Linked DNA regions of Yarrowia lipolytica. The protein of the gene in region 1 purifies or fractionates together with the protein of each later gene. This does not show direct contact. Links are inferred from orthologs where the notes say so. Each region holds a gene or a part of one and is shown in the gene's direction. Other genes may lie near its edges. The genes, in order: YALI1_F12013g, YALI1_B02487g, YALI1_E40361g and YALI1_A17570g.

Region 1 (8,373 bases):
GTTGGGCGAGTGTTAGGTAAACATCTACTCGTTCTACAAGTACTTGTAGTGCTCAGCCCATACTCGCCATTGATGACATTTCGGTTCACCCACAAGTAGCTCTTTCCTTCTCTATGCAATTAGTATTTCTTTACATGGGTGAGTATTCTCATTCAGTCGCTTTGCTCAAAGTGAGTCTCTTCCTATCACTGGTGAGAGCCTCATTCAAGCGAGTCTCCTCCAACCACTCCGATCAAGTGAGTCCTATCCAACCATTCCGACCAAGCGTTCAGACACTCCGGTCAGGCGTTCACTCCGATCAAGTGAGTCTTTTGAGCTGCTCAGACGACTGGCTTCGCTCGTCGTCTAGTAATCTCTAAATACCCGAATCAAACCATCCAACCTGTTCATCTGCACCAGCAGCTTCTCCTCTCTCATTCTCAGTCCCTTGAGATCCGCCTTTTCCTGCTCGGTCAGAAATTCATCTTCGTGTCCCTTGACATCCTCTCGCTGCAGCTTGCTCAGCAGAATGGGCAGCTTGGCACGCTCGGCAGCCACCCGCTCGAAACAGCGCGACAAAGACTTGTAAATGTCCTGTGAAATGAGCGAGTATGCCCGGTTGGCTCTATGATGCCACAGAAAAATGGTTCGAGACGCAGCTCTGTCGGCGGTTCGAGGCAGCTCTTGCACGTCCAGAGCGCCGACAGAATGCAAGTCGTGCAGGTGGTTGAGAATCTCCTTAACGGGCAACAGCGCAATATTGGTCAGCAGCTTTTCGTCCACCTTGCCCTTGTCCTTGACAGCTCGCAGCAACCGCTTGGCCACGCGGCCGTACTTCCACTGAATGATCTGCTCGTATCGCGCGCCCCGCAGGCACTCGGTAGCCTCTTTGAAGTTGACGTACCACTCTCCTCCGCCCTTGGTGCCCACGCTCTGCACAAACTTGAGCGGTGAGGCTGCCAAAATCTGCATTTGTTTGGATACTGCTGTTGCTAAAGCAACGCCCGACAACTCCTCTTCCATATCTTCTTCAACGTCCACCTCCTTCTCGTCATAGTCTCCAGTCTTTGTATATCCCTCTTCAGTCTTGACTCGTTTGCTCTGCGGCCGGGGAGAAACGGATCGTGATCCCTTTCCTCGCGGTCTAAGACCGTCCAGGCGAGGATCGATTGTCTTGGCAATCTCCATCGACGTGATGTTGAATTCAGCGCCTGGAGAAGTGTCTTGAGTGCAAGAATGCAGACGGCCAACGTACTTGCTGAGACACTGTCTGTAGACCTCGGCCGCCGTCTTGCCACATCGCTCCTCGGCCAGCTTGGCCAGCTCCTCGTTTCGCGCAATCACCAGAAACTTGTCGGGATTGGCACACAGCACGGCCTGGTGGTCGAGCTTCTCGGCGCGGTTCAGGACAGGGACGCCCTTAGTTCGGGCCACAGAGCCCGACACAAATCCCAGATTCAGCGAGTTGCGCTCCTCCTGCATGCGCTCGAGCTCCGTTTTGGCGCTTACCGCAGCCTGGTTCTTTCGGGCAGACTCGGCCATGGACAGAGGCAGTTTACTGAGGTGGTCTCTGAACATGCGTGCGTAGAGATCTGTCTCGGGCTTGAACTGCCACGCCTGTACGGGCACCAGAAACCGTTTGCGCAGCATCACCGCGATACTGGCCTCCACGCTGTCTCGGTCGTGCTCGGGGGTGGCTTCCAGGTAGTCGGCCACCCGCATGTGTCCGTACACGAGCAGGTTCTGGGCAATCTCGGCACACCTCTCGCCCGACTCGGGGTTGCTTTTGCCGCCGGGGCCCTTGCCGAAGTCCTTTCGCACCGCATCCACCATGCCGCCAGCCCGCACCACCTGGTAAATCTCCTTCCAGTTGGCCACGTAATGGATGGAGCTGGACTCGCCAATGTCGTCTGTATCTCGCCCGGATTTGCGGTCGTTGGCCCAGTACAGCACAAAGCGGTTCTGCACCAGCGCCGCCAGACCACTGTGCACCGCTGACAGCGGCAGTTTGGTGGTTTTGGCGAGCTCAGCAGCCGTCTGACGCCCATAGTCCAGAAGAGACCCCACCAGAACCGCCGATAGCTCGCCGTATATGCCCTTGAGAAGCACGCGGCACAGATCGAACAGAGCCCGCGAAGACTGGTCCGGGTTGTGCAGCTCGCTCATAGTTGGTGTGTGTTTGTGAAGTTGGTTAGTAAAAAATCCCCCAGTAGAGTTCAACTTTCGACAAGATTTTTTTCACTGCATCATGCACCTATGGGTGGTGGAGGGGAGTAGAGGGTTGGGGTTGGGAGGCTGTTATTCGGGGGATTAAGGGAGTTCGGAAGGTTGTCGTGGACACGTGATCTTGCATGTGGCGTGTATTTTCCCTTTAATTGCACCGCTGACTAAACATGGTGGAGCCTACACTACAAGGACATGTAGCTATGGACATGTTGTTTAGGGAGTGTAAGATGGGATGTGAAAGGGGGATGAGGAAAACATACAACTACTTGTAGTATGACTGTATATTCAGATGACGACCAAAAAAATAGATCATATTTCTACGCTTTTCCTGTTTTTTCCTTTTTTTCCCCAAATTTTTCCATCTCAATCTGCCAATTCATCTCCCGTCAACTTTCATCACAGCGCATACAATATGCATGCACGTTCTTTTTTATATTTTATATATATGTTTTATATTTTTATATATGTTTTATATATTTTTATTCCAGGATGCGTGAGTAAAACGGGGATAAAACGGGAAAAAAACGGGAGTAAAACGGGAGTAAAACGGGAGTTAAAACGGGAGTAAAACGGGAGTAGGAGGTGAACCACGGGCTACAGGGAGGTCACGAGCTACAGTGTATTCGATATCGGGCTGACTTCATTTCTAAAAAGTCAGATTATGAGTGTCTGTTATATACAATATATGTTCACCAGAGTCAAGTCCTCCAACTGGCTGAATTTTGACCGTAGAAAGCTGAAATTTGACACAGACATACTGGAGACACAGAGCAGACGGGAACAGCGATTTCTCTCCTTATACATCTACACCAACGAGGTATACGACACCCCAAAACAAGCCACTTTCACAACTCTAACCACCTTGGGCATGCATGTTTGAAAAAAACAATCTATGGTGATGAACATGACTGGGTAGGGAAAGAATGGGATAAAAATGAGTCAAATCAGATTCAAGATTGGTATTGTCGGGGAACACGGCGGAGGGGCCCATGTGACCAAATTTCAGCAAGACCCGATCCAAGTAGCGCCCACAAGGGGGACCTTTTAGTCATACCGGTCAATGCAACTCCAGAATCAGAGGTGAACAATCAGAGGAATTGTTATAAGAAGATGTCGATAGAAATGTCTCCGTCCAGCCAAGTCGACGACATGTTAAACTCCCGAGAACCTCTTTCTGTGGCCCCATCAGGCTAACTTTGGATGCGGACTCAAATACAGTCACAACTCGTGTTACAGTAGTCAGAAACGACTTGCGAAAACACCAATGTACTCCCACAATTCCAAGGGTCACAATGGTATACTCAACTCGTCCTCAAACCGCCCTCACTGTTGCAGAATCCCCGTCGCCAATTGCCCTCGATCCCATTTGCCAACTTTGCATCAACTGTAAACAAACTCGGAGATTTGACAAACTTGGAGATTTTTTAGATGCACGACCAACGTCATATTGAGGGAGATACGGCGAGGCGGGGGGAAGAGGTCACGTGGATGGACAGACCACGTGACCATTGCCACTCGGTACACGCCGACTCCATAGCCAGAGTTCGTCTATTCACGTGATCTGTCTCAAATACTACGCTGCTCAAACGGCTCATAATTTTGTATGTACAATGATGATTTGCGTGATTCGAGTGATTCGAGTGATTCGAATGATTCGAGTAATTCGGAAACAACACCACACAGTGCACGATTGAGACGGGCGGCGCGGACGAGGGGCAGATCACGTGACCGACCGGGTCCAATTGAGCTCCGCTGGCGGAAAAAAGACGGATATATCTTGGCGACCGCGCGCTCCAGTCGTCTCCTCCTGGTCGATGGTCTGATGCTGAGGAGTCCCAACCACGCGCTGCCCTAACCCTCGCACTCCACAACCAATCAAAACCGACGCTTTGAATGTCTTTTTGGCAAAAAAGGTTAATGTGCGCTCGCACAAATCACACCCAATAGTCAGTTCACCAACCACCCAGAACTAACCCCTTCACAACACAACACCCCCCCAAACCCCACACAAAAACAACCACAATGTTGTCTGCCCGATCCTCCATGACTCGGGGTGTTCCCCGACTGGCCGTTGCCGCCCGACACTTCTCCACCGCCGAGGCTGCCGGCGTCAAGGTCGCTGCCCAGGACGGCCAGTCCCCCATCTCGGACCTGTCTGTGGTGCTGCGAGGTGGTTCTCGATACGCCACCGTGCCCGGCGTGTCGCACATTCTGGAGAAGTTTGCCTTCCAGAACACGGTGCCCAAGTCTGCTCTGCGATTCGTCCGAGAGCTGGAGCTGTTTGGCGGCAAGCTCTACACCCACACCACACGAGAGCACATTGTGCTGCGAACCCAGTTCCTCAAGCAGGATCTGCCCTACTTTGTCGACGCCTTTGCCAACGTGCTGAAGGAGACCAAGTTCCAGCAGTTTGAGCTCACCGAGCGAGTCGCTCCCGTGGCCGAGCTCGACCTCCTCAAGCGAGAGTCGGACCCTGCCTTCACTGCCCTCGAGGCTGCCCACGAGGTTGCCTTCCGAACCGGCCTCGGAAACTCCGTCTACGCCCAGGGCTACTCCCCCGTCACCCTCGAGGACGTCAAGGAGTTTGCCCGACAGGTCTACGCCAAGCAGAACGTTGCTGTTGTCGGCAACAACGTGGTCCCCGCCGATCTGCAGCAGCTGGTCGGCACCGCCTTTGCCGACCTGCAGGAGGGCTCCAAGGTGACCCAGGCCGGCACCACCACTCTCCACGGCGGTGAAGCCCGAGTCCGAACCTCCACCGGCAACGCTCTGACCATCGCCCTGCCCATTGCCGAGCCCAAGCCCGTCTACCACGCCCTGGCCTCCTTCCTCGGCGGCCCCGCCTCCATGCCCTGGTCCGTCGGCGCCTCTCCTCTCGCCCAGGCCACCGTTGGCACCCACACCTCCGTCAAGGCCACCTACCACAACTACGGAGACGCCGGCCTCTTCGCCATCACCATCAAGGGCGACTCCCCCGCAGAGATCTCCCAGGTGGCCCACAAGGCCGTCCAGGCCCTCAAGGACACTGGCGCCGAGGTGACCGAGGAGCAGGCTGCTCGAGCATACGCAAAGTCCAAGTTTGCCGCCGCTGAGGCCTTTGAAAACCCCGACTCCTCCGCATCCGTCATTGGCATGGAGCTTCTGTCCGGAGTCTCCCGAATCGCCCCCGAGAACGTGCAGAAGTTCACTCCTGCCGAGCTCTCCGAGGCCGCCGCCCAGCTGTCTGCCAGCGCCAAGCCTGTTGTTGCTGCCGTTGGCCAGGTCCACGCTCTTCCTTTCGCCGACGAGCTTTTTTAAGCGGTAGGTTAGCATAATAAAACTAGATATTGACGACCCTCTACTGGCGCGCAGTATCATCCTTGCGACGCTGTCACGAGCATGATCTTGCGGCAGTATATGGGAGCAGACGTAGACTACGTTGCGAGTGCCACGGTCACTAGTGATGTATGTACACGTAGGGTGACGATGTTATCGTAGAGTGATACCAGTGACGGGTCCGATGATACCGGTGACAAGAAAGAATGTGGTGGGTATGACCGCGATGGGAAAGAGTGTCAGGATGTAGTGTGGACTGTGTGTATCGTCATGAGATGCTTCCATGAACTACGCTCTGAAGTGGTCTTGTCGAGTGTTGTTGCAGGGAGGAAGTTCATTTGGAGACGAGAGATTTGTGGGAGAAGATAATAACGGGTTGATCTTGTTTCATCAGGGGATAGAGCAAGTAGAGGCGTGAGGGGTCTGTAGAACTGAGGGTATTGGTCTCATCGGGGGTATCCATGGTAATCTGGGTGTACCGTTCGACATCTGGCTTGTGTCTGGTGCCAATACTGACTATCATTATTGGAAATCTGATTGTGGCAGTGAAGGCGGTAGGGTATCAGTTTGTGGAGAACGAAGGGTGGCTGAGGGCTGGCTGTGATGCTGTTGAGGAAGTTGTCTGAAGAGGTCAGAGGAGGTCAGAAGAGGTCGACTCTCAACTAGTCGCTTGAAAAGCACATAGACAGTTCACTTCCGGTTCACTTCTGTTCACCTCGGTTCACTTCTGATACACTGGCGGTCAATATCTCAGTGTCTGTTGGCGAAGGTGCTGTGATTGGCGACTTGTGGAGTTCAGAAGGAGTCTGAGTGAAGGCCAGGGAGGCTGTCGTGATAAGGCTGGAGGCCGGATACATGGGTTGAGTGGAGTGGAGGAAGTTGTCTCAAGTTCCACTGAGATAATTGGATTGTTTATGGTCATTGTAGTACGAGGAGTACGACAGCCATAAAGGGTATGGATTGGTGTCGGTTGAGAAAGAAGAGATAGTATGAACCGAGGCCGAGGCACCAGGTGATATGGAGAGGTACATCTGCCAATTGAAAGGCGAAAACATATTGATATGAAGATTAGATGCTCTGACAATGTTTACTTTTCTCATATTGTCACTTCTCATACTCTTTCTCATGTTAACTTCTCACACTATTCACTTCTCATGTTCCCTCTACCATCTACCTCTCCTCAAAAGACTCAAGGATAACCTGGCCATGTTTCATCCCAACAACAAACGTCCTCACTCGCGGCTCTTCCCTCTTTTCTTTTCTCTTTCTCTTGCCATCCAGCCGCTCGCCAGAGTCATCTTCGGACCGGACCCCCGCCCCTTCCTGGGCCACATCTTCCTCCGGAACAAGGCGATTAACGAGATCCAAAAGCCGCTGACGTGCTGCCATGGGCGACATTCGAGAAGTGTAGTCTTCAAACTCCTCGGATTCCAGCAACGTGCTCGATAGGCGAGTTCTCACCTCGTGCTCATCCCTCTGAGTAGAGGCAGTGGACAATCTGCTGGTGGAGGCGTTCGAAATGGTGCTGGAGACGGTGCTGTGATTGGTTTCACTGGCCTCGTCGTCTCCTTCCTCATACGCATCAAGAGGGTCAATTTCCGAGTACATTTGACGACACGTTCAAAACTTTGGTCCTACACAAGACGCAAAAGAGTATCTACCAGGCAATATCCATGGCGATGGAGACATGGAGAGTTCAAAAGTGGGATTTATGGACATGGAAAAACCAGATTCGGGTGTTGTTCCTGTAATTGTATGGTTTCAAGTGCTACTTTATGGGGTTCAAGATGACCGTAGATATGCGCTGCAGAGTCATGATAGACATTTGGAAGGAAGAATAATCAAACGACGAAACTCGAAAAAACTAAAGGATTCGAATGATTGAGTTGTTTTAGTTCCTGAGACCCATTCAATCAACTGTTGGAGACTGCGAACCCTCTCACAAGTACCATACTTCCCTTCATGACCACATGGTGAACACAAGAAACAACAATATAGACCCGATGAAACACCCATCACCTTCCATCCACCACATCTTCCCATATCCAGCTAATAACGACGGTAGCAAGGAGCAATGAGCTGAAGAAACAACAATCAATTACATATAGTATGTACAAGATATGCATTATATACAATGTGGAAGAGAAGCGGCCACCAATAGCTCACTGAGTGGGCTCACTTATTGGCTATGCGTAGTAGACTAGATGGAGGATCCAATCACTACTCTTTCTTCTTGAGCGAAGGAACAGGGAAAAACAAATGATATCCGCTCTTAACCACATCCACCTTGTAGTCGTTGACATCATTCTTCTTCATCTTCAACGAGGCCAAATTGATGGAAATGCCCATAGTCGATCGCTGGAGCAGCTGGACCTGGGGCTCTCTCTTCACATCCGTCTGCTTCACCACAGCATCGACCATCTTTTTCAACTCGTTGGTGGTTCGAGTAGCAATGGCAAAAATGTCGTCGACAGACAGAGCGTCCAGCTGATCAGTGGTGGACTCCTTGAACTGGCTGTAGTTGACAAGAGCAGGCACTCCCACGGACGAAAACGGCTTGAGACGAAGCGCGTACATGAGATCGGCGGTGGTGTACTTGATTTGGGGATGCTGAATGAGTCCAAATCGGTCGTAAAGATACATGAGCAGCATGGAGCATTTGCAGAGATCGGCGAGAGCAGAAGACTCGACAGTCATGGATTGGGTCAACATGGTCGCCTTGTTGATATCTTCCAGCTGAAGCATGGTAGTGGGAACCTCTTTGGGTCCAGAAGCACCTCCCTTCTTGCCCTTCTTCTTGTTCTTCTTGTTGAAAGTCTGGGACATTTGAGCGTTATCGGCGTAAACACAGAG
Region 2 (7,894 bases), on another chromosome or scaffold:
CTCCGGCAGAGATCGATTGAGATCCTTTTCAATCTCTTCTGTGGCCTGAGAAGTTTTTCCTTCGTACTCCTCAAGCAGGTCGTTGTACATGCTCTGGTGGGCGAGACGCAGGTACAACGACCCCGACGTGAGTTCCCAAATTTCGCCTCTCAGTCGGTTGGGCAGACCCACTCGGATGAGTTTGTAGAAGGTCTGTTGTCTCACCAAAGTCAGGTTGCGTCCATGCGTCTGGAAGTACTCGAGCCACAGGCGCATCTTGGACTTATCCCGCAGCTTTTTGGCGTCTCCGGGGTATCGGAACACCTGTCCGAGACCTCCCAGTGGTGGAGGGGGAGCGTCGCCCTTTTGGCCGGAAGAAATTACGTTCAACAAGTACTCCGAGTACAGGGTGGCGAGGAAGGGCTTGAGAGACTTGATCTTGGCAAGGTTCTTGCCCAATTGGGCCTTGAGGGCGAGCGAAAAGCGGTCGCAGGCGGACTTGATGCCGATGAACTGGATGACGAGCGTCAGGCCGTTGTATGTCTTGATGGACAGCGCAAAGAGGTACGACTTGAGCGGGAGTCGCTCGACCCGTTTGACCGTCAGCAGGGGCAGCGCAAACGAGCATTGACGCGCGTCGGTGGCTGTGAAGCACAAAAACGAGTCCGACAGGTACAGCTTGCCCTGGTAGATGACGTTGGAGAACTCAATGAGAGATTCCGAGCGGGCCGCCTGGCCCGGGTTGACGGGCGGGTTTTCTGCGTTCTGAAGCGCAACCTCGACGCTGATATCCGCCAGCAGCTTCTGCGAGTCCGGCAGACTAAATTGAAGCCGGAACTTTTCGTCCTTGTTGAGTCGGCGTTTGTAGTCGGAAAATTGCGCTGTATCGGCGGCGGTCTGGATGACGCCGGACGAGGTTTCCGGCTCAAACAGCTCCAGCGCCTTGTTTTTGAGCGAGGTGAGAAACGACATGGCTCCACTGGCACGAGTAGCTCAAAAGGTGTAGTTGCAGTTGTGTGGTGTTCACCGAGTGGAGTCCTGCACGATAGTGGTGATTGGGAGTATGCAGATGGTGCATGTAATAGCGCAGAGGGGATAACATATACCGGGACACATTGAGAGTGGGAGGTCACGTGGAGAGGAGGATAGCGGTCACGTGAAGTGGTCTGGGGACGTCTGGACAGGTCTAGAATGGTCCAGGATGGATATGATAGTCTTGACAGCTTTTTTGTAGCTCTCAGGCTGTATCAAGTGCTGTTTTATTGGATATACCACATCAAGGGCAAGTACAGTACAGTACGGAGAAAACTAACTACAGTACTGTACATTGTAGAAATAAAATATTTAAAAAATAAAAATTAAAAATAAAAATTAAAAAATTATGTCAGAGAGATACAGCTTTCGGAGTAATGGGATGAAATCAGAGTGTGGCAGAACTTGTAGCTGTGGATCTCGTAAAGGACACGGTTTTGATGTAGCCTTTTTCCTTCAGGCCGTGCCGGTAGCTACTTGCACTCGCACTGTACTCAACTTGCTCTCTCTCTATCTCTCTTTTTTCCTATCTCTCTCCGGAATGGCTGCCTCGGGCTGTCAGGGTGAATCTTGGCTGAGCTATATATAACCGGCTGTGACATGCCAAGAGCGCCGAAATGACGCGAATTGGTGAGAAACCAAACCACTCCGGTCGAGGATCGAACTCCTGACCCGCTAAGGACACGTATGGGCTTATTGTAGTGGTCTAAGGTCCTGATCGGGGCTAAAGGTGCACGAGCTGGGACGTCCCAAAATGGTGATCTTTAGAATTAAAAACGGATCATTAGAAAAGAAAGAAAGAAAAAAAGGAAGGAAAAAAGGAAAAAAAGGGAAAAGAGGGAAAAAAGGGGAAAGAAGGAAAAAAAAAGAAAAAAAGGAAATAGCTCGAAGTTGAATCATGGGAAAAGAAATTCTCCGGGAAAAAGAGTAAAATAGAGGAAAATCGACCGTGTGGGACTGGTCGGGTTGTTTGCAATGAGTCTCTTTCTTCCTGCGAGTCATCTCGAGTGTTGAAGGAGTCACCCAGCACCGCTGACATTATTGTTATTACTAACTACAGTACAGTGTGACATCACCAACAGCATAGATCTACAGATGAACTTGCTCAACTCGGGAAAGAAAAAAAATTAGGCCATTTTAAGCCCATTAGAATGTTGACCACAAGGTGGCATTTACTTTCTCCCTCGATGGCTGCAAAGATAACTAGAGCGGCGTTGTCCCGTGACGTACTTTTGGGTGGCCAATCGGTCGTGTTGTCACTTCGATACGACATAAAATAATACCTACTACAAGTAGCAGTTAAGACGAGGTGCTGGAGAGACTTTTATTATCATGATTATTATTGTTATTCTAGACGAAAGTGTCCAAATCACCTCCATAGCGAGCTGAAGGACACGCCTGTCTTCGGAAGGAGATATGGCCACCCATGAGCATTTCAAGCATGCATTTTTGGTACAATATGATACAATTATCGTCATTTCTTCTGCCTTGAACAACCTCTGTATATCCCGCATATTCCGTATATTTTATCCAAGTAAAATGCACATCTTTTGTTTTGTTTAAACAACCAAGTTCGGTCACATGACTCTGCATAGTGAACAGATCTGACGCATCTCGACATTCACCACCAGCACATTGCAACACCCAACATTGCACAATGTGGCTCAAAATCTACCTACTCTCGATCCTGGCCATCTCCGTGTTCACGTTTGTGTTCTTGTTCGGCGCGTTGCCTCAATTCGAGGACACTGCGGTCTGGAAGTTCCGAAAATGGCTCAGCAACCGTCCGGCAGCCATCAGATCGTGGGACTCAAAGTACTGTGGGGGCCGTCTCTCGGTAGTGGGCGACTTCTGCGGCTCTGTGGTTGCTCCCGCAGCTCCATGGTCCGTGCCCATTCTCTACTGCGCCTTCACGACCTACATGTTCTCTGCCTACTATGAAGATTTGCATCCGTTCATCGCAGAAAATCACTGGTATTACGCGTGGCTGGCGCCTGTGGCCTACACGATTCTGGTTGTATCTTTTGTACTTGCCACCTTCTCGGACCCCGGCAAAATCACCAAACAAAACCACGCCCTGCTGCTCAACCAGTTCAGGTTTGACAACCTCATGTTCCTGGAAGACACAGAATGTAGCACGTGCAAGTTCACCAAGCCTGCAAGATCCAAGCACGACCGGTTCACCAACAAGTGCGTTGCCAAGTTCGACCACTATTGTCTCTGGATCAACAACACGGTGGGTCTGTACAACTACAGATGGTTCCTCTTCTTCCTGCTGGGCAATGTCTGGACCCTGTGTTGGGGAGCTCTTCTGGCAGGCCTCAAAATGATTGTCATGGTGGCCGCGGAGTACAAGGACCATCCCAAACCGCTGCCAAGTATCTTTTCGCAATGGTGGCAGGTCATGATCACCAATGAGAACAAACGGGTGGGGATTATCTTTCTGCTGTCGGTGTCTACCGGTGCTCTAGCCTGTGCCTTCACAGCGATGCATTTCTACTATATTTACCTTGGAGCCACCACCAATGAAACGGATAAATGGGGCGATATCCATGCTGCCATTTCCGAGGGCAGTGTATGGATGTTTCAGAAGCCGGGTTTCAAGCTTGATCGAAGCATTTTGTTGCAGAAAGACGAGGAGGGACGACCGAACAGATCTCTGACAGCGGAGGAGCGGGAGTACGTTGCCCAGAATGGTCTCGCCTTGACCTTGCTGACGGACCATAAACCGATTGTTAACATCTACGACAAGGGGTTTTTGAACAACTTGAAGGCAGTGATGTTTCCGAACAGCGCTTATTAGTGATGGAGACATTGGAAGGAATGAGCTGTGCTACGCCCCTGAGGAATCTGCTGGCGAGGTGTACGATACAAAACCTGTATAGTAATTTATTTATGACTAAGATGCGGGGGGTTGGTTGCCGTGACATGTTAGAGCTCTTTAGTACTTCGTCTTGACGCAGATTAATGTCTGAGAGAGACAGTCCCGGGATCGTGTGTTCTCCCAGTGCCTCATGTGTAAGGCCTCAAAACCAATTAATCTGGTATTGGTGAACGCCCGTGATAATGGTACAAGGTCATTGGTTTCATAGTTGTTTCAGTCAACTTCCGACATAGCTCTGGTGTGTAGTTTATCAGAGCTCCGAGTAGGTGTGCAGTTTCTCAGAGCACCGAGTAGGTATTCAGAGCTTCAGGATCCAATTGATTAGTGCTTCGCTAAACTCGATGTTCTAGCTAAACAACCTCCTCAGCTTTTCTATCTTCTCCCTTCCAAATCCACCTCTCGTAACCTCCCTGACATCCTCCTCCCTCGGCTTCTCATACCTTATGCCCATTCGCTTACAGAGCAGCTTTGATGGCACCCACTCTTGGACCACCGTCCTCGCACTTGCCTCCTTCGGACCCTCAACAGCACTCCCCGCCAGCTGGAACTTGCTGTCCAATTTCGACTTGTAGGGGTTCTCTGACGCCAAAGTAAAATTCAGAGAGTCCAGAAACGAATCAACTTGGGTCTGCAGTGTTTGCTGGGTCACAGGAGTAGAATGGAGCCCGTATTGTTTGTACACGGGATTGGACACCAGAACAATGGAGAATCCTGGAAGTGGTAGTTTTCCATCTGAACACAGGACCGTTCTTGGCTTGGTAAACGAGTTTGTCGAGTCAGAACCAGTCCCAGAACTTTTCTTTCCCATCAATTGTCTCTGTGCAGCGGTCAAAAACTTATGTTTCACCACACTCTTTGGCTTGCCCGTATCTTCCCTGTCTTTCCTCAGCTTAGGAAGAGACTTGGTCACGGGATAAAGTTCGTCCTCCTCCTCATCTTCCAGCAGTAGGGGCCGTTTTTTGCCAGACCCGGGGACTATTGAAATGGTCTTGTTGGTGGAGCCCATAGTCAGTCGCTTGGTTCCGATCTGAGTGGTTTGAAGTGCTGACTCAGATGGATCTACCAGTCGAGCTTCATACCCAATACCTGCTGGGCCCTGATACACCTTTGGCGTCTCGGGAAGTACTTCAAAAGCGCTCATGGAGCCGGAGCCGGAGCCATTCTTCTGGTCGCTCCACCTAGCCAAGATTCCAGGCCCGACGTTGACGATTTCGCGCTGGCTTTTTTCCCTGTGGTCATCCTCGTCGTCAACATAGTCCTCTATCGTGTTCGTCGCCCTCTCGCTGTCCTTGCTGCTGCTCCACTGCCGCGGGGTCCATCCTTCTTGTGACCCTACAGTGTTGTAGTAGCCGGCCGACCAGCCGCCTTCAAACGCGCCGTGGAACCGCCGGAGCCCATTTTTATCGTACGCAAAGTCGTTTCGGAGACCCTTGCCCTGGTTTCGGTTCTTCACTGGCGTTCCGTATGGCGTATACATTGCATTGTGGTGGTGATTCGGTCAAGATGGATTGAGTTAAGCATGTCAAATATATATGCATGCCGAGTACGATATGCTGCAGTATGTACTTGTATATATAGAGAAATAAATATTTTGCTATTTTTACTTTTTTACTTTCTTTTGTGTGGAGGAATGTACCCGGAGGTTTTGTTGGCATTGTTTGAGCTCTTCTCCTCTGTGGGTGACTCTGCCTTTCTAGCATGTCTGGACTTGAGAGGAATCCTCTGAGTACTTTGTGGGGTGGTAGTGAGATTGGTCGGGGACTCGACCTGAGACTTGGATTCCGACTCCGCCTGAGACTCGACCTGTATCTGTGTCGAATCGCTTCTTTCCGTCTTGTCCTCCCTCTTTTTGTGTTTCGACTGTAGCTTGCTTGTGGTGGTTGAAGTTTTTGTTGGTGCTGTTGTGTCTGGAGTCGACCTGATATCCAGATTATCAACAGCGGCAATCATGTTGCTGATATCATCGGGGCTCTTGCCGCTGTTGTCGAATATCACACTCTCCTCCACCATCTGCTTCTCTTCCTTCCGTGGCCCCTTCTCCTTCTCGCGCTTCTTTCTCTCAAACTCGGCCTTCGCAGCTTGGATTCGGGCCTTGATAGCCGACTTGTTGTCGTCAGCACCACTTGCTTGGGTCTCCACCCTAGCGATCGGACTCTCAGCAGACACGATGCCCAACCTGGCATCTCGTTCTCTCGCCCCGCGTGGCTTGTACTTTGGAACATCTTCTTTGGCAATGTATCCAGGCCGCACCTTGGCAATCGGTCTCACACTGCCGTCAGATCGCACTGTTCCACCCACCACTCTCTCTCCATCCTTTTCATATGTTCCTGTGAGGGACGCCATACTGCTCGTGTACCGTTCTGCGTTCTGAAGGTGTGCAAACTGGACACAGATTGGCCTCCAGCCCAGCCTTAGTTGTGCACCCCAATGATTTATCTGTTTGTCCCAACCCAGAATCGAACTCACAGACGTAACTCTAAACATTTTCCACCCGCCCAATATCTCTCTACCCTAACCCCGATCGTCGTCCCACAATAAGCGTCTTACTACTGGACATCGTAATAAGCTTTCTGGCCACCAGCCAATCACGCCCCGCGCTTTTGGGACCCCAAGAAGCTTTGCAGTCTCATCTCACACGTTCTCACATTGAGATATTACACAGCATCAAAATGGTGAGTCGAGAAAACCGGCCAGGGGGACGTGAAAAAGCAGGGCGACGATAGGGCGAGGTGTTGGAGCAGGCACATGGGCAGATCACGTGGATTGGGCCTGATTGATCGCGACATTGGTGGTGGACACTAGAGCACAACAGACGCATCACGACATGAACAGGAGGAACGAACGAGGTGACAGAGAAGAGAAAGCAAGCGACAGAGGGAAGCAACGGAGATAGGCGACAGAGACGGACGATAGAGACAGACGACGGACGACGGAAATGTGGTTTATGACAGCCAACGACGTATCTGTTAGCTCGCCATATGTCAGTCGATCCATTATCTTGCTCAACTGTACAAACCACCCCAAACCACCTCAAACCACCCCAAAGTACCCAATCAACGCTTCTATCAACATACTAACTCAGGCCTGGGCTACCACTTTCTACAACGTTTTCGTGAAGCGAAACTCGGCCTTCGTGGCCACCATCCTGGCTTCCGCTTTTGTCTTTGACATGACCTTTGAGACTGCCATCGACAACTTCTGGGACAGAATCAACGCTGGCGTGAGTATTAACGAGATACAAGGGCACAGCCCGAGTACCGAATGAAAGAGGACGAGGCCACTGCTGTTGTTTTTTGACGACATTCGCAGTTTTGCTATAACAACCGCGTCTTTTCGGACAGCACTAACTCAGAAACAATGGAAGGATATCCGACACAAGTACATCGAGGCCGCTGGCGACGATGACGAGGATGACGAGTAATCGACGCGCATATAATTAAAACTGATATTTACTTGAAGGGTGGAATTGGCCATTGAGATGGCATCTTTGGGTAACCATGGGGAAATTTGAGGCGCATTAGAATATGTATTTTTTATGAGTGTGTAGTAAGACAAGTGGTCTGATTCTGTATGACATGCTTACCAACACGACAATGAAAAACCATCTACTTCCCTGTGTTTTGTTCAGAACTTGAGAGATCTCAGCTCACTATTGAGCTCAACTAAGTTCAGCTGATCCCCAATTAAATACTTGGATTAGTAAGCTGATATAAGCAGACAAAAAAATGTTCCACCAGAAATACCCACCAGAATCTGCAAAAAGAAGACTATATATGGGCAAAAAGAGAGGACGACAGGACTCGAACCCGCAGCCTTTGGAGGACGTCGTTCACGAAGAACCGAAATCCAATGCGCTACCATTACGCCACGTCCTCTGGTGTGGAGTTCAGGGCGGTGATAAGAGTATTCAAGTGCAGAAAAACGCTTGAAATTTCGCAGAAAAACAAAGAAAAACAAAGAGAAAAAAATTGCGATAAAAAATTGCCTAGAACTGAGGTC
Region 3 (7,845 bases), on another chromosome or scaffold:
ACCCATCATTGACCTCGTCTGGCTCGTCCCATGACTCGGACAAGTCTGCATCCAAGCAGCGTGCTGCCCCGCATTTCCACGCTGTCTACGCTGGATTCAAAACCCCAGCCGCCGTCAAACGACCAGCCAAGAGAACCTACATCGACCAATGGGACGAAGCTCCCAGTCCCTTTCTAAGACGACAGGCTGCCGCCAGTTATGACTAACCCGTTTCTGGTCGGACTACGACACGATACTATTTATAAACTCCAAGTAGACTAACAAATGATGAAGCATAGGTAATGATGTACATATTGCACCGTTTGTGCTCGAGTTCTGTAGGCGATAGCGGAAAGCGTATAGACTAGCTTGAACTAGGTACAGAATGTTGTATCGCATAGTCAGTTATAGATGTATTTACACTACTTGTAGCTACAAAGTAGTAACGTTAGGCTAGTTACTTGTAGATTGGAAATTCTCTTGGATATACTGTAGATATTAGCTTAGGTACATACTGTACTTGTATCGAGTACATACGGTAGTCACTCTACTTCAAGTACTTCTCGTAGAAGGGGAGGAGTTGAGAGACAGCCTCATCCACCTGCTTGGACTTGTCATAAAGATCAAAGTGGTTAGAACCCTCGACAATATAAGTCTGAGCGTCCTGGCTAACACCCTTCACATCCTTAACAAGGTCGACCGAGTAGAACTTGGTTCCGGCCTCGCTACCAGCAATCATGAGAAGGGGCTGAGTAAGAAAGTCCTTAGCGAGGTTGAAGGCGTCATAGGTGACAAGTTGGTTGATAGATCTAACAGTGAACTTGGAAGGACAATTAGTCTTCTGGGCTCGGGATGTTCGGTAGTAGTCATATGCATCTCGGAGTTCAGGGACAGGGGCGTCCTCAACCTTCTCGGGAGCAAAGGGCATGTAGGCAGTCTCTCCGCCATCGGCCTCGTCGGTTCTAGCCTGGTCACCCAGCTGAAGGGTAGCGAGAGCGACGCCAGAGGCATCCCCGGTCCATCCCGCTCGGTACATGTTTCCAATGTTCACACCAGACACGGTACCGACAGCCTTGATTCGCTTGTCGTTGATGGCAGCGTTCACGACGTAGCCACCAGAGGCACAGATACCAAGGACACCAATGTTCAGGTTGTCGATATAAGGCAGGGTCGTGAGGTAGTCGACTGCTGCAGAATTGTCTTCGGTTCGAATGTAAGGGTCTTCGAGGAATCGAGGCTCTCCTGTGGAGTCTCCCTGGTAGGAAGCATCGTAAGCAATGGTCACGAAACCACCTGCAGCAAGCTTTTCGGCGTATATGCTGGCAGTCTGTTCCTTGACACCTCCAGCGGGGTGGCCAACGATGATAGAAGAGTACTTCTGAGACTCCTGGAAGTTGGGAGGGAAGAAGACAATGGCTGACTGTGTGATTCCGTTGCCGTTGAGGTTCTTGTAGGTGACGTTCTTCTGAGTGGACATTTTTCTTGTTGTGAGTCGGTAGTGTAGTTTGTATTGATGGATTGAGTGAATGACAGGGGTTCCACTGTGGTCTTATGTATGAATTGACACATGGGGATGAACGAACATTTCTAACTCTTTCCCCGCCTGCCTTAATCGTTAATCACCTCACTACATAGAATTAACCCAACGGCTGCCTGTTATCGAAACCTTGTATTATAAGACTGTCTCGAGCGGATTTTGCAGTATACTGTAGCTACAGTACATACAAGTGCTGCTTATACAAGTGGTTCATTTGATATTTGTAGTAAGCCTTGTAAACTTGGGCTATCATTTATATGAAGGGCCTGCAGGTGACAATAGATCGAAGATGAAGATCACAAACGCCAGCGGTAGCATTCACCTACCACGAACCACTGAAACCTACGCCAAGAAACTAGCCGAGGATGGCCTTGGCACCATTGCCTTGGTCTCCTTCCAGGGCGAGTTTACCGGTGAGCGCCGATACCTCGAGAAGCCCTACAGCACTGTACTTGTTCGTTCGAACTGTCGAGATTAGGGCCATGTCGATTATCTTGTGAATCCTCTGTCGACGCTGAAAAGTTTGGTGCAAAGGATATCTGCGCCAGTGGGGATATCGCCATTGTTGCTAATATATATCCCCGAATCAATGCCATTGGTACCCAATGTACTGTTTCTACTGACAACATTGATCTGGGACAGCAAGATTAAAGACGCTGACTCTGCCTCTTACATATACTGACGCTCAAACTGTTCAAATCAAGAACGGCGACATTGATGGGCACCATTCTCTGGGTCCCAAGACGGAAGCCTCCCACAAGGAAGAGTGCGCTGCCTGGCGTTGCTACTGGAACAAGATCAAGGGTTCCAACAACATGGACATCTACGGCAAGGTTTTCGCCCTCAGGCCCCATGAGTTCTTCCAGAATCACATTTAATGATGTGAAAGTAGCTACCTGTCGCTAGTAATAATATATAGCTCATCTTACAAGTAGAGTTCTTAGACCCATCGCAGATAAGAACCTTACTACAGTATGTACATAGTGGATAGAGCCCAGAAGTACCGTAAAGGATACGTGTGTTCCTGTTGAGAGATTGCTACAAATCTTCACAACACACAATTCCTACAAGTACAACTAACTACTCTACAACCATACACACTACAAGTCTCAAATATAGGGGATGGGACTCGATGGTCCAATCGTATTAACCCCGGAGGTTCGGCTGAGTACCAGCGTACGTCCTCCTAATACTATCTAATGCGAGTTGAGTAGTTCCTATCCTACAACTATCTCTTCTGTGTTTCCGACAGGGCAACGGGCTCTTTGCTTTCCGGATTCGCGACTCCTCTGTATAAAAGCGGCACGGGCAGCGTCTCGATTCTCAATGATCTAACGGGCTCTGGCTCTTGGCTATATCAATTTTGGCGGCTCTGGTCTTCTGTATCGGACTCGGGCTCTTTTTCTCCCTCTGTACTTGTACGGTTCTGTAACTAATTGGGGCTCCCACGGGCACTCTCGGACTCGGCTTCTCAGGCTCATACACACACATGGCTCTCTCTCGCACGGACACTCGGGCTCTCGCAATGGGTCTTTGACTCAAAATATCTCTCTATAGCGGCTCTCGTTGCTGGTGGCTCTTATAATCACTTGATATGGCGTCTTTCTAGATCTTGGCTTCCTCTGACTGGCGGTCTCTCGACGACTTGGCTCCCTATGGCGGCACATTCATTTCCAAACGGCTCTCTGCTCGGTCATTGTTAAGCGGCACTCCCCTCTGTAAAAAGTTCCGGCTCCAGGGTTTAGCATAGCTGAACTTCCTCCCCCTTGGTAGTCGGTCGAGATCACAGGCTCGAAGACGCGTCGAGACACGGGCTCAAGGCATTCTCTCTCTGTCGGTCGGTGGCACTTCTGCTCTGGCTCACAGGGCTCAGGCATCATATCGCTCTTCGCTATGGTAAGGTCATTTTTTAGACACATTCCCTTAGGGGCTGCAACACAGCTCTTAACCGGTAAACTCCCAGAGCGCAGCTTCTTAGCGACTCCAGTTGGGCATGTTCCCAAAGCACTCTGCTGACCACACTCGGTCAGGTAGTATTACGTCAGGTACGGCGGCCAAGCTCGTTCCTGGAAAGGCCTTGACAGGAGCCTGGTGCTTTTCAGCGGGCTCAGCACTGTCACAGAAGGACCCGACAACCGGTACAGTTGCCAGTCTGGCGGCGGAGGGATCGACTTCTGAAGAAGAAAAAGAAGAAGAAGAAGACAGCAAGAGCGCGATTGGGCTTCCTTATATACTTTTGGGACGTGGCTAGTCAGTAGACCTGAAGCGACAAGTGGGGGGGACACACCCGCCCTGCCATGCACCTAATCAACATTAGAGTTGAGAATGACACGCCTACCTCTTTGTTTTCTGGTGTGGTATCATTATCAGTGGACACTCATGCAGGCAAGGGATAAGGACGCTGGCTGCAGTCGATCCAGAAGGCAAAGGTGGCAGATGAGGACGTTTGACACATACGAATTGAGCAAAATGACCATGGTGCTGTATTCTCTTCGAAATTACGAGCCGAATGAGTGGAGTCAACATTTTTTCAGGTCACGTGCTTAGAACTTGTCCCAACACAGCGAACAGGGTTAGGGGAGACTTCCGCAAAACCTGCACACTGCATCCTCCCAAGCCCTCGGGCCATTAGCCAATAGAATAAGGACAAAATCCTGACCAGTGGAAATACACTTTGAGTGTAGAAAAGATCGCAGAGTGCACCAACTACTTACACAACACAGCAACCATGGCTTCAATCACCTCCGTCGTGAAGACTAGCGAGCTTATCCTCAAGTCTCCTCTCCTCAGCAAGATTGTTGTTCCTCTTGCCAAGACCTATGTCAAGTTCTCCGGATACCGACAGCTTGGTTTCAAGTGAGTATCAAGGAAAACAACGCCCTCCAGCGACACACCCCAACGACAGTTGCGCAGCATCGACAGTACGAGTGAATGGGAAAGATTATGGACGATTTCGGCTTTTGCGACACCAGTTTCAAGGCGTTTCTGCGTTTCTACGACACGCGAAATGTGCCCTTAAACGCGACGACGTAAGAGATATTTCAGGGTCAAAACACCATTGATACGGAAGTGACACAGCGACACTGGAAGACCACAAAAACCGACTCAGAAAGGAATCCCCCGACGCTCAACTGTAGATATTGCTGGAATTGTTGATTGATGGGTGTGCATCAACTTGTGCGTGAGCAAATACTAACCCCAGGATGAACGATCTGATCATTGAGGAAACCCCCAACATGCAGCTCGCTCTCCGACGACTCCCTCCCACCGAGTCTTACGACCGAGTCTACCGACTCATCCGAGCCACTCAGTTCTCTCTGTCTCACAAGCTTGCCACTGGTAACGACATCACCAAGCCTGAGGAGGACGACCACTACCTCATTCCTTACATCCTCGACGTTGAGGCTGAGGCTTTTGAGAAGGATGCTCTTGACAACCTCGAGGTTGTTAAGCGAAAGTAGGCATAAAAGCTCTAACAATACATGATTATTAGGTACGAGAGGGTAGGTATGGATGTCAGTACTTGTAGTCCGTGTATTGTATCTGGCACATGTAGTGTTGAAGATTGTAAGGGGTTTAGAACACAGAACGATTGGTGCGTATTGAGAGTTCTGTTGGCATTGACGCATTAATCTCTCTAAAATTAATGCCCCCGTTTGTGCTGACCAAATTGCTGTCTTTAGGGTCACTGTTGCGTGGTTGATTACTTATTACAAATGGGACGATTTTCACGCACTGTCCGAATCACCGATCATAATATTGGTCAATTTGTGTGAACAAAACTTAAATTTGTTTTAACCAAATTTCCAAACTAAGGATCACACAATTTAATGGAGAAATGACTTAGGAATAGGTAACTCGTTTTAGTCAGAGGATAGGAAATACGCCAGTTCCACACAATCATATCCTACTCCAACTACTTGTACTAGCTTGTAAATCGTTCACTTATCATCTAATGAATGTTAGCAGGCTATATAATTAATACCGTGGGGGAGTAAATGCTTAGAGTGATGAGAAGCCGTCCTCCATCACCTTGAGAGCGTCTCCAAAAGAGGTAAGCAGCTTCTCCAGCTCCCGAGTGACATCGGCGTGAGGAGCAGGGTCCAGCAGCACCGACAGATCAATTTTGGGAATGGGAGGGAACTGCAGAGTGGATTGAACGGGCGGCTGGGTTTGGGCAGCCCGAGAAGGACGACGCGACGAAGGCTGAGACGGAACATTAAGACTGGGCGTGTAGTCTTCCTTGCGGGCAGGGGTCATGAATGCATCGGGCATGGGCGGGGCTTGTGCCGGAGGCATTTTGATCTGCAGGTTGACGTTTCGCAGTTTGGCGGGCTTCTCGGTGTTGAACGCAGGGGACTTTCCATTAACGTCTGAGCGAGGCATAACCACGTCAGGAACAGAAGCTGACCGGGTAGCCAGCTGGGGGTTCTCGGAACGAGGTATCAACGGAGGAGAAGCATGGCCGCCGTCTTCAGAAGACACAGACGACTTGTGGCTCATCACAGGCGAAGCTGCAGAGGGAGAAGCTGCTGCTGATGAGATGGACGACACCGACGAGATAGAGGGTCTGTGGAACTGCGGAGGAGGGCTGGAAGGCCGTTTCACGGGTGGAGGACTGCCCCGAATGGGAGAGGGCGTTCTCTTGGGGTAAACCTGATGAGGGGCAGCCAGAGATGCCCCAGAAGAAGGGTTGGCCGAATTGATAGCTGACTTCGCAGCTGCTACCGCGGCCAGCGACGCGGAGGAGTGATGCATTGGTGTCGGGGGCGGCGGAGCCTGTGCCATTAAAGGTGGGGGAGCCAATGGCTGTTGTGGAGGCTGCTGCTGTGGGAGAGGCGGCATCTGAGAGGGAGGAGGTTGTGTGTGAGGCACAGGAGGCATTGTCTGATGCAATTGGGGCATCAGCGGTGGCTGTGGATGCTGTATTTGATGAGGGGGCTGTTTTATCTGAGGAGGAAGTTGTTGCTGTAGCTGAGGCGGCTGCTGCACTTGAGGCAAACCTCCTAGACCGGGGTGAGTTGCCTGGCCTGAATGGGTGGTTTGATTGAGATTCTGACCTTGGCCTTGGGTCTGTGCGAAACTGTGTGAATGCTGAAGAGGAGGAGGTTGGGGATGATCTTTCTCGGGAGAAGCTCCCATCTTGGAACCCCGTCCAAGAGTCTTACGACGAGACATGGCCATGGGAGGTACCCCTGGAGGCTCGCCTTCCTCTCTTAGATCGTTGAGAGTTGGAGCCATAGACGCCATTTGAGTCTTTTGAGTGGGAACGGTAGGTAGAGACATTGAGGAAGACAGCTCGGGACGAGCAGGCATAGGAGCATGGGCAGGAGGGGCAGGAGGGGCAGGAGGGGCAGGAGGTTCGTTTTCGTCCACAAACAGCTCCAGAAGTGGATGTGGCTCCTCTTCTTCCTGAGGCACAGTCATCGTGTTAGTAGCTGTCGTAAGATCGTGTAGTTGGCCTTGTTGTAGTCCCTGCTGCTGCTCATATCTCTGTTCCAAGACCTCAGAGGCAGAGACAGTGCTCTGCAACAGGACTTGGGTACCCATCTCGCCAATATCTCTGTAGGCATGTGTGGGTTCTGGCCTGAAGTCCATCTGGCCATTATGAACCTCCACACGAGCATCATCAGGCGCAGTGGATGTGTCGAAGTCCCACCGAAAGTCGTCCGAATGGTCCACAATATCCTCTTCAGACCCAATGGAATGCCGGTTATATACAGCCATCGAATCACGTGACTTGTTGTGTTCCCTCCAGTGCATATATCTTGAAATGAGGTCTTTGATGGTCGATGTTGGGATACCCTTTGAGCCTCTGACAAACTTGGTTTTTGACAGCTCCTCTGCTGAGGGTCGTTCGTCAGGCAGTTCGTCCAGACATAGTGCGACAATTTCCTTGAGGGCCGCTGAGTACTGGGATCCTTCCAATCTTGCGGGTTTGTTTCTGGGGATCAGAAAAATGGCCCTCATTGCCTCCTGGTCGGACAGGGGAGGGGAGCCTGTTGCAATTTCATAGAGCGTGATACCAAGCGACCAAATATCTGCCTTGACGTTGTATGATGCTCCTTCTGTGATAACTTCCGGAGCCATCCAATAGGGTGTTCCCACAATAGTGGACCGTTTAGTCTTGGAGGAGACTAATTGCGCGGCCACTCCGAAATCACACAGCTGAACACGTCCCTGTTGGGTGATGAGAATGTTGGCGGCCTTGATGTCTCTGTGGATGATTCCAGCCTTGTGCATGTACTGGATAGCGATGAGCAGTTCACGTGTGATGACGCTGAGGTGTCGTTCTTCGATACGGCCTGCCTTCATGAGAGTGCGCACAC
Region 4 (8,310 bases), on another chromosome or scaffold:
TTGCCAGCATGGTGGCAGCTCGAAACGGCCAGCCGCTCCTCTGCGGAGCGCTGTTTGCCATTTTGCTGTGCTTCAAACATATCTACCTCTACCTGGCGCCGGCCTACTTTGTCTATCTTCTTCGTGTCGTGGTCATCCCCGGAAACTCGTTCAAAAGCCTGAGAATCAACTTCAGAGACACCGTGCTGCTCGGTCTCATTGTTGTGGGCACTTTCACTGTCTGTTTCGGGCCGTTTGTGGCATTTGGACAGCTCGAAAATCTCAAGTCGCGCCTATTCCCCTTCTCCCGAGGACTCACCCACGCCTACTGGGCCCCCAACTTCTGGGCGCTGTACTCGTTTGCAGACAAGGTGGCTGTGACGGTCATGAAGGGCCGAGGAGCCGTCTCTGGAGGCACTAGAGGCATTGTGGGAGACGTTGCGTTTGGTGTGTTGCCCAACGTGTCTCCTTCAACCACGTTCTTCCTCACCCTCTTCTACCAGCTCCTGGGTCTGGGGCCCCTTCTGATGAAACCCACGTACGCGCGATTTGTGGGTGCCATCACCTACTGCGCGTACGCGTCATTCTTGTTTGGATGGCATGTCCATGAGAAGGCCATCTTGATGATCATTATTCCCTTCACGTTTGTGGTGCTACGAGACAAGCGGCTGCTGCTGGTGTTCATCCCCCTGACCATCTCCGGCTACATTTCGCTCTTCCCGCTCATCTACACGTCAGCCGAGTTTATGGTCAAGATTCTGTACACGTTTGCGTGGTTCTGTATGTACTTTTTGTGGTTCAACCACCGGCTGGTGTCGGACCACCGCAACAGCATCACCACGCGCGAGTTTCTGCTTGACCGAGCCTCCTTCTTCTACCAGATGGGATTTGTTCCCGTGGTAGCTCTGTCTGTTATTCTGGACGGACGACCCAATATGGAGTTTCTGGGTCTCATGATCATGTCCGTGTACTCTGCCATAGGCGTGTGTGGCAGTTTTGTCGCCTACTCGTGGTTGTACATGTGTGAGCCCGGAATGTGGCAGTAATACCATGTGCTGAGCGAGTAATTGTGCAGCTCGACGTTTTATACAACGCAAATAATCGCACCATACATCGCAGCCCGGCACCTGCGCTCTGCTTATATACACTAATATATTGGATAGATGATTCAATCAAAATTAACTAGACTAATATAACTTATAATGATGGTAATAAATATGTGGGATGCGCGAGCGGTGAGTATTGAAGCAGTTCTCATGGCCAAAACTACTGGTGTGGGCACTCGGTGACACTGAAGTTACCTCTTCCTCGTCCGCCTCGGTCGAGATGCTTCGGTTCCCTCCTCCTGGGCCTTTTTAGCCTGTTTCGACATCTTGTTCTTTGCACCCAGCTCCTTCTTGCGGGCCTTGCGGTCAGCCCGGATCTTGGCGCACGCGTCGCAGTACCAGTCGCCTCGAGGTGGGTGTTTGAGCCCCACGCACTTCATGTGGAACCACTCCGTTTTGCACTTTGGCGAGTCGCACGCAATCATGCGGCCCTGCGAGCCCTTTCGACACGTGCAAAACACGTCTTCCACGGGCGGTGTAGGGGGTGGCAATCGTCTGTTTGCTGTGGATTTCGCCTCTCCAAGACCTTCCTTGTCCTCCTCTTTAGTATCCTCCTCGACCGCCTCTTCAACCACCTCTTTAATAGGGTTTAGAGGCTTTTCCTTGGAAGAGCTCTGGGACCTTGTTCTTCGGCGTTTTGCGGGAGGAGAAGCGACCACATCATCAGCCACAGGTGGGACTTTTGATTGAGAGGGAACCGTTTCATCTTGAGCTTCAGTGTCCACTTCAGGAGTAGTTTCAACCTCGCCTTCTTCGGTGGCCTCCTCTTCTTCCTCATTTTCTTCTTCCTCCTCATTTTCCTCTTCCTCCTTATTTTCCTCTTCCTCCTTATTTTCCTCTTCCTCCTTATTTTCCTCTTCCTCCTCATTTTCCTCTTCCTCCTCGTGTTCCTGCTTATTCTCCCCACCCACACTCTCCTTCTCCTCCACTTCTACCTCTGACCTCCTTCTCTTCCTTCTCTTGGAGGCCTCCTCGTTGACATTGACAATATCCAACGAGCTGAGCTCATGCAAAATGCGGTTGTCGCGCTTGCGGCGTCGAGAATTCTTGCTGTGCTGCTTCTTGTCCTCGTCGTCTGGAGGCGTTGACGGAATCAGAGGAATAGCTTCTTCCGATGCGGTTGTAGCTGACACATCTGCTGGGGGGGGAGAATTCACAGAAAGAGACGCGGGTATGCTGTCTGGCGGAGACTCGGGTAACGCCTCTGACCGTTTCTCCTTCTTCTTTAGCGACTTGCCGGACTTTTTCTTCTTCGGTGACCGCACTTCCTCCGTGATTGGGGTTTCAGTAACCTGTTCAACTGGTTCTTCAACTGGTTCTTCAACTGGTTCTTCAACTGGTTCTTCAACTGGTTCTTCAACTGGCTCCTCGTCAGCCCCAACACCCTCCACAGGCTCATCCACCTCTTGCACACTTCCGTTGGTCTGTTCCGATTGTGCTGCTGCAGTAGCTGTTTCCTCTGCCTCCTCCAACTCCTGTTCCGACGAGGCTTGCAATTCCTTCTCAACATGTCCCCTGTCATCCTCCTCCAACACTCCATTGGTGTCTCCATTCAAAACCTCCGGTGGAAGTTCAAAGGCAACCTGGGGTATAGCTCCTTGTGTATCCTGTCTTTGTGCGCGTACTCCATGTATGTCGTGGTTGTCCCTTGTGTCGCTCGTGTCCGCCTCTCGGACCACCTGGTCTCCATCTTCTCCACTGGCCAAAACGCGTAAAGCTTGGCGGCCCTTAGCCAATTCGCCCTCAACCAAACGGGCCACGTCAGCAGCTTTCACCGCACTATTGTGCTGCAGCATCGTCAGTTGGTTGTAGATGCTCGATATCTCTCGTCGAACCGACAGTGAAGACAGAGGATACGCGTCGGGGTCGGAGGAGCATTTGGACGTCAAATCTTCCAGCTGCCGCGATAACAGATCGGTGCGGTCTCGAAGCGAGTTCAAAAGAGCCAGCGACCGCACGATGGCCGGCGCATTATTGTTCATTTGCCGCAGATACCGTGTTGTGCTGGTTTGAAGGGGGTTCCACAGTCCTGGGATATTATGACAGCTGGATAAACTTTTCCCGAAAATAAGCTTTTGTGGTGACAATGGTAAATGGGGCAGGTGTTCGGGAACACGAGATGGGGCCAAATGAACGGTGCGGCGATGTCGGGGAGAAATGTACGATTCGAACGGTACCAGAAATGTCAAGTTTCGTCATGTTTAAGAAATAGTCTGAAATTATATTTTGTTCTTTTGGGCGACCTGTGCTTGAAAACCAGAAATAGAGTTCAATAAGTCGGCTTAGTAATCGTCCTGAGAACGGGCAATGTTTAAGGAGAGCAACATTGTAATATTGTATATGAAATGTACAATAGTAAATGTCGATGAGGACATGCATGCATGGACTGGGCGGTTGAACCTTTGATTGTACAGATTATGAGCTGTTAATGAACTTTATTGGGGGAGCTGTATAGCACAGGTTAGGACCTGTATAACTCCTCGTTCGTTACAATTCAGATTATGAGTTAGTTTGCTCGACATTGTGTCATTCGGCGTTGCAGTCTCATGTCCCCCTACAATATCCAACGCCTCCAGATCATACCATATTATGGTTTCGAGGCTAAAGTCATATTGGGCAACCGGCGAGCATATGGGTTAGGGTTCTTTTATTATACGCTAATTGTCATTGGTTGGGAGAAAGGCGGTGGAAATTGGCGTGTTTGAGTGGAGTTGAAAAATAGGGTGGAATGGGTGTAGAGGAAGAGGGTGATGGAGTGGGCAATGGCGGCGGTCGATTCGGGGGCGCAAAGAGGGTTTATATAGATAAATTTGTGGGGACACAAAGACCCACGGCCTCCCCATTTGGCCCCGTTTAAACTCCAAAGACCAATGGCAGCACCCTCTTTGCACGACAACACAAGTCCCAAACCACATTTAGAAATCAGCCAATCACAGGTGCGCTTAATCCTGCTCCCGCATTTTTTACCACCCAAGTACGTTAACTCGGCCTGCTACACTCTTCCATCAAAAGGTTTGTCACCACTTTTGTAACCGATATCCAGGGTGAGTATCGGCAATGGGGGCGCTGGGGCGCTGGGGCGCGGACGACGACTGGAGCCATGTCACCGATCAATTGCCAGTGGGTCCAGGTGGTGTTGGCACTGGTGTTGAGGTGGTCATGTTCTGAGTATTACCGCAAGGAGAGACGAGACAAGTGACACGGAGAGGGAGAAAAGGAAAAGAGGACTGGGACGACAAGGCCAGGTGAAACCACGACTCTGGGCATGTGGCGCGATTCCGTGTCGGTGAGGAGGAGAGATGACGACAAGGATCGATCCCAAAGTGCGACACGCCGACCACAATGTGGGACAGCACACCCAACGCAACTGCAGCAGCAACAAGAGCATCGACATTGCGACCGAGAAACTACATTCGCAGCGAAATGCGACGACGGCGAATTGGCGTGTGGCCCGAGAATCGACGTGTGTCACGTCTGTGGGTCTCATTGTCACCCCGGTCTTGCGTCACTTGCCCCGTCCCAACCAATCAAAACCCGCCCATCAACAATCATCACACACCCATACTAACGCAGATGTTCAAAGCAATCCCCCTTCGACAGGCCCTGCTCGGAATCTCCTCCGCCGTGTGTGCCGGTGCCACCACCACCTACTACTACACAACCAAGGCTGAGGCCATGACCGCCGCTGAGCACGGTCTCCACCCAGCGGAGTACCCCTGGCCCCAGAATGGCATGCTCTCCACCTTTGACCACGCCTCTCTGCGACGAGGCTACCAGGTCTACAAGGAGGTCTGCGCCGCCTGCCACTCTCTGGACCGAATCGCCTGGCGAAACCTCGTGGGCGTGACCCACACCACCGATGAGGCCAAGGCTTTCGCTGAGGAGCTCGAGTACGACGACGAGCCCGATGATGAGGGTAACCCCCGAAAGCGACCCGGAAAGCTCGCCGACTACATTCCCGGCCCCTACCCTAACGAGCAGGCTGCCCGAGCCGCCAACCAGGGAGCTCTTCCCCCGGATCTGTCCCTCATTGCCAAGGCCCGACACGGAGGTGCCGACTACATTTTTGCTCTGCTGACCGGCTACCCCGACGAGCCTCCTGCCGGCGTCGTGCTCGCCCCCGGAATGAACTACAACCCCTACTTCCCCGGAGGAGGCATTGGTATGGCCCGAACTCTGTTCGACGGTGTTGTCGAGTACGAGGACGGCACTCCCGCCACCACCTCCCAGATGGCCAAGGATGTCGCTGCCTTCCTGACCTGGGCTGCCGAGCCTGAGCATGACGAGCGAAAGAAGCTTGGTCTCAAGGCCATCATTGTCATTTCCGCCATGCTTGGACTGTCGGTCTACATCAAGAAGTTCAAGTGGTCCCCCATCAAGAACCGAAAGTTTATCTACAACCCCCCCAAGAACTAGATGCATAGTTAATGAACTAAAACAATTGACACGAAGCAGTCCACGCGTGGGCCGACGAGAAAAAAGCCGTCGGCCTGTGAGTGGGCGTATGAGTTTGAGTACGTTGACGAGGAAGTCATTGAGGAGTCACCGAGGTCACCGAGGAAGCCCAAGACTTTCCAGTGAGCTTAGGATGACGACTGAGCTGTAGCTAGGATTGTAGATTGAGATTGAGTTCTCAGTTGCCAGGATTGTAGATTGGTCTGTAGAGGGCGTGACAGGATGTAAAAGAAAGCGAATGATACCTCGGACTGTACGGGTACACCACAGGCAACAAGTGCGCGTGCTGTAGATAGACCAGGACAGTTGGACTGTGTTGTGATCACTGAATAGCACAGTATTCGTTGGAGTGTTCTTGACTCCATCTGCTGCTTTGTAAGCCGCGACTGGCATGGTGTCTTCTGGTGTCCATCTACTGAGGAAGGACTGGAGGAAGGACTGTGAAGCTAAGTACCCTCGTTGAGTCAGCCAGTGACAAGTTGGACTTGGAGGAAGTGGAACCAACCCCGAGGTTGTATAGCACCATTCACAGCTGGGAGCGCCACCTCCTCCGCTGAGACCAATTGAGAGAATCGTCTGGGTCAGTCGAGGGAGTGGGCATCTCGCGGTTTAAATACCAACTCTAACCCCACACAACATGCACATTGTCATGTACAAAAAAAAAAACATTCATCTTAACCCGAAATTTCATTCCCACCTCTTTTCTCCACCCCCTTTTTCTCCACTGATACCACCAAAACCATGGCGACATTCAGGATCAGCAAATACATCTATCTGCACAAAAACGCGCCGACTCCGCAGGGACTGGCTAGCAGCAGCATTGACCGCGACGCGTCCGAATGGACCAAATACCAAAACTCGCCCCTAGAGCTCTCCATTGATACCACGCCCGCCGGGGGCGCGAAAATTTCCCTCAAATACAAAAACACCTCTTTGGAGCATGTTGACACAGACGAGATTGAGGAGCGGTTCGGATCCACCTACGGAAAGAACAACCCGCCGTTTGTGGCCATTTGTAGACCGCCAGGGATTGGTTTCAAGTACTTGGTGAGGAGATTCCATACCATGGTGAGTGTTCCACGAGTCGGTTACGAATGAGCGACGCAAGTGGTTGTCCACATTACAATATTATTGATACCTTCAACGCCAACGCAGCAATACCCTAACATGATACCCTGAGATATCCTTTTCCAGCTAACCAAGACTTATCGCTTTCAAATCAAATTCGCGTACATGGACGAATACGACCGGGCAGTGGAAATGCTATCAAAGGCGGGAGTGTGTATCAAGGGTAGCCCTCCCAAGTCTACCAGGACTGAAGGTGCCACCCTGACCTCCTTCAAAAACTTCAACCCAGAGTCTCAGTGGAACGGAGAAGATGATGATGGCGACCTCACCCAGATTGATCCCTTTCTCCAGTCTCAAACCCTCTCTCCCACCCAACCTCCTGGTCCAGCTACTGAGCCTCCAGTTATGAGCCAGACTTTTGTTGATCCCCCCAGTTCGTCGCAAGCATCTCCCCCATACCAATTCAAGCACTCTCGGTCTGCGAGGCTAGCACCATCGTCGTCGCAGTCCTATCTGCCGGTGAAGCCAACCCCATTGTCGCAGCCAAGGAGATTCTCTGAGACTTCTACGTGGAAACGCACCGTTGACGATATGCCTTCTTTGGGGGCTTCTCCTGTCAGCTCGCCCCCCAACTCTCCGAAAAGAGCCAAGTCGTGGAAGAAGCACTTTACCCCTGCAGATACAGACGTTCGGAGCGGGAATGGGATGGTCAGCAGAGGAACACAGACCGAGGACCCCGAATGGCTGACTGACACGCAAGCTATGGAGAACCACATTGTGGATGTGGTCCAAAATCCTTTGTTCGACGCATATGTTGCACGCATCAAGGAGTTGATGAAAGGCGACCAATTCGAGAAGGACGGATTCTGAGAGAAGGGGGATGTGTATATTAGTTGTAATAAAAGTATTGTGATGTAGTCTTTTGGTTTTTTTCACGATATAGTCCAGTTTAGACTGTTGTCATCTACCTGGTCAAAGGAATAGTGAACAAGTATAGAAATATAGAAATGAGAGGCCGTTTTCTCAATTTCATGAGCTCTAGAAACCCGTCCATATCTTCCAATTGATAGCTTTCAACTACAGTACCGTATGTACTTGGGTTCTGTTAATACCAACTACGATTTCCACTATAGTCGCATCTACCTGTCTCCAATATTGATATAGCAATTGATAGAAAAGAGCCACCAGTCGGTTCTATAGAGGCTTTCTTATTCGATTGGCATTGTTTGTACGACTAATAGTCATTATATTATCCTTCTCTGAATCGGCGATGGTGTGGCCTTCTACATAGCATGTAGTATATACAAGAGTGTAGAGTAACATACAATTCATTAATTAAATGAAAAACAAGTCTTATCATACCATTGGTAGACAGTACTAGACAAGAGATGACTTTGCATGGACGGTCTTTCTTGCCTTATGCTAATTGTGACCATGCCAGACAGAGGACTTTCACTTGAGTGATTGCGCGTGGGCAATTGAGTCACGTCCCACTGTGTTTAGTGCCCCCATCATATCCCATCATATCAGATGCTCGGTGCTGTTGTATCGCCTGTCCATTGTGTCACGTGTTATGGTGTCGTATGCTTCTTATCACGTCCCTCTTTCCGACTATCTAGCAAAACCCGGAATGGAGACCGGCTCGTCATCGGTCACCTCGGGCTGGGCAGTGTTGAAATGCTGAGTAGACACGTGCTCGACA

Evidence for each region.
Region 2: the proteins of YALI1_F12013g (region 1) and YALI1_B02487g purify together in Saccharomyces cerevisiae (affinity purification with western blotting; 3 studies listed by BioGRID, with this or other methods). This does not show direct contact. The link is inferred for Yarrowia lipolytica from reciprocal best matches to the Saccharomyces cerevisiae genes QCR2 and QCR9.
Region 3: the proteins of YALI1_F12013g (region 1) and YALI1_E40361g purify together in Saccharomyces cerevisiae (affinity purification with western blotting; 4 studies listed by BioGRID, with this or other methods). This does not show direct contact. The link is inferred for Yarrowia lipolytica from reciprocal best matches to the Saccharomyces cerevisiae genes QCR2 and QCR7.
Region 4: the proteins of YALI1_F12013g (region 1) and YALI1_A17570g purify together in Saccharomyces cerevisiae (affinity purification with western blotting; 4 studies listed by BioGRID, with this or other methods). This does not show direct contact. The link is inferred for Yarrowia lipolytica from reciprocal best matches to the Saccharomyces cerevisiae genes QCR2 and CYT1.

The regions. Positions count from the first base shown.
Region 1 is NC_090775.1:1,197,158-1,205,530, reverse strand, and holds YALI1_F12013g (uncharacterized protein), read left to right. Parts: upstream 1-4,227; coding exon 4,228-5,502; downstream 5,503-8,373. Other genes in the region: YALI1_F12052g (uncharacterized protein), read left to right, coding at 157-212, 266-306; YALI1_F12033g (uncharacterized protein), read right to left, coding at 346-2,145; YALI1_F11956g (uncharacterized protein), read right to left, coding at 7,741-8,373. UniProt on the Saccharomyces cerevisiae protein: Component of the ubiquinol-cytochrome c oxidoreductase, a multisubunit transmembrane complex that is part of the mitochondrial electron transport chain which drives oxidative phosphorylation.
Region 2 is NC_090771.1:248,119-256,012, reverse strand, and holds YALI1_B02487g (uncharacterized protein), read left to right. Parts: upstream 1-6,564; coding exon 6,565-6,567; intron 6,568-6,977; coding exon 6,978-7,115; intron 7,116-7,247; coding exon 7,248-7,316; downstream 7,317-7,894. Other genes in the region: YALI1_B02550g (uncharacterized protein), read right to left, coding at 1-951; YALI1_B02533g (uncharacterized protein), read left to right, coding at 2,669-3,814; YALI1_B02506g (uncharacterized protein), read right to left, coding at 4,242-5,372; YALI1_B02496g (uncharacterized protein), read right to left, coding at 5,504-6,379. UniProt on the Saccharomyces cerevisiae protein: Component of the ubiquinol-cytochrome c oxidoreductase, a multisubunit transmembrane complex that is part of the mitochondrial electron transport chain which drives oxidative phosphorylation.
Region 3 is NC_090774.1:4,033,044-4,040,888, reverse strand, and holds YALI1_E40361g (uncharacterized protein), read left to right. Parts: upstream 1-4,244; coding exon 4,245-4,372; intron 4,373-4,718; coding exon 4,719-4,977; downstream 4,978-7,845. Other genes in the region: YALI1_E40422g (uncharacterized protein), read left to right, coding at 1-206; YALI1_E40394g (uncharacterized protein), read right to left, coding at 527-1,456; YALI1_E40327g (uncharacterized protein), read right to left, coding at 5,519-7,845. UniProt on the Saccharomyces cerevisiae protein: Component of the ubiquinol-cytochrome c oxidoreductase, a multisubunit transmembrane complex that is part of the mitochondrial electron transport chain which drives oxidative phosphorylation.
Region 4 is NC_090770.1:1,753,103-1,761,412, reverse strand, and holds YALI1_A17570g (uncharacterized protein), read left to right. Parts: upstream 1-4,427; coding exon 4,428-5,501; downstream 5,502-8,310. Other genes in the region: YALI1_A17622g (uncharacterized protein), read left to right, coding at 1-1,025; YALI1_A17583g (uncharacterized protein), read right to left, coding at 1,277-3,067; YALI1_A17551g (uncharacterized protein), read left to right, coding at 6,282-6,638; YALI1_A17546g (uncharacterized protein), read left to right, coding at 6,774-7,478; YALI1_A17515g (uncharacterized protein), read right to left, coding at 8,220-8,310. UniProt on the Saccharomyces cerevisiae protein: Component of the ubiquinol-cytochrome c oxidoreductase, a multisubunit transmembrane complex that is part of the mitochondrial electron transport chain which drives oxidative phosphorylation.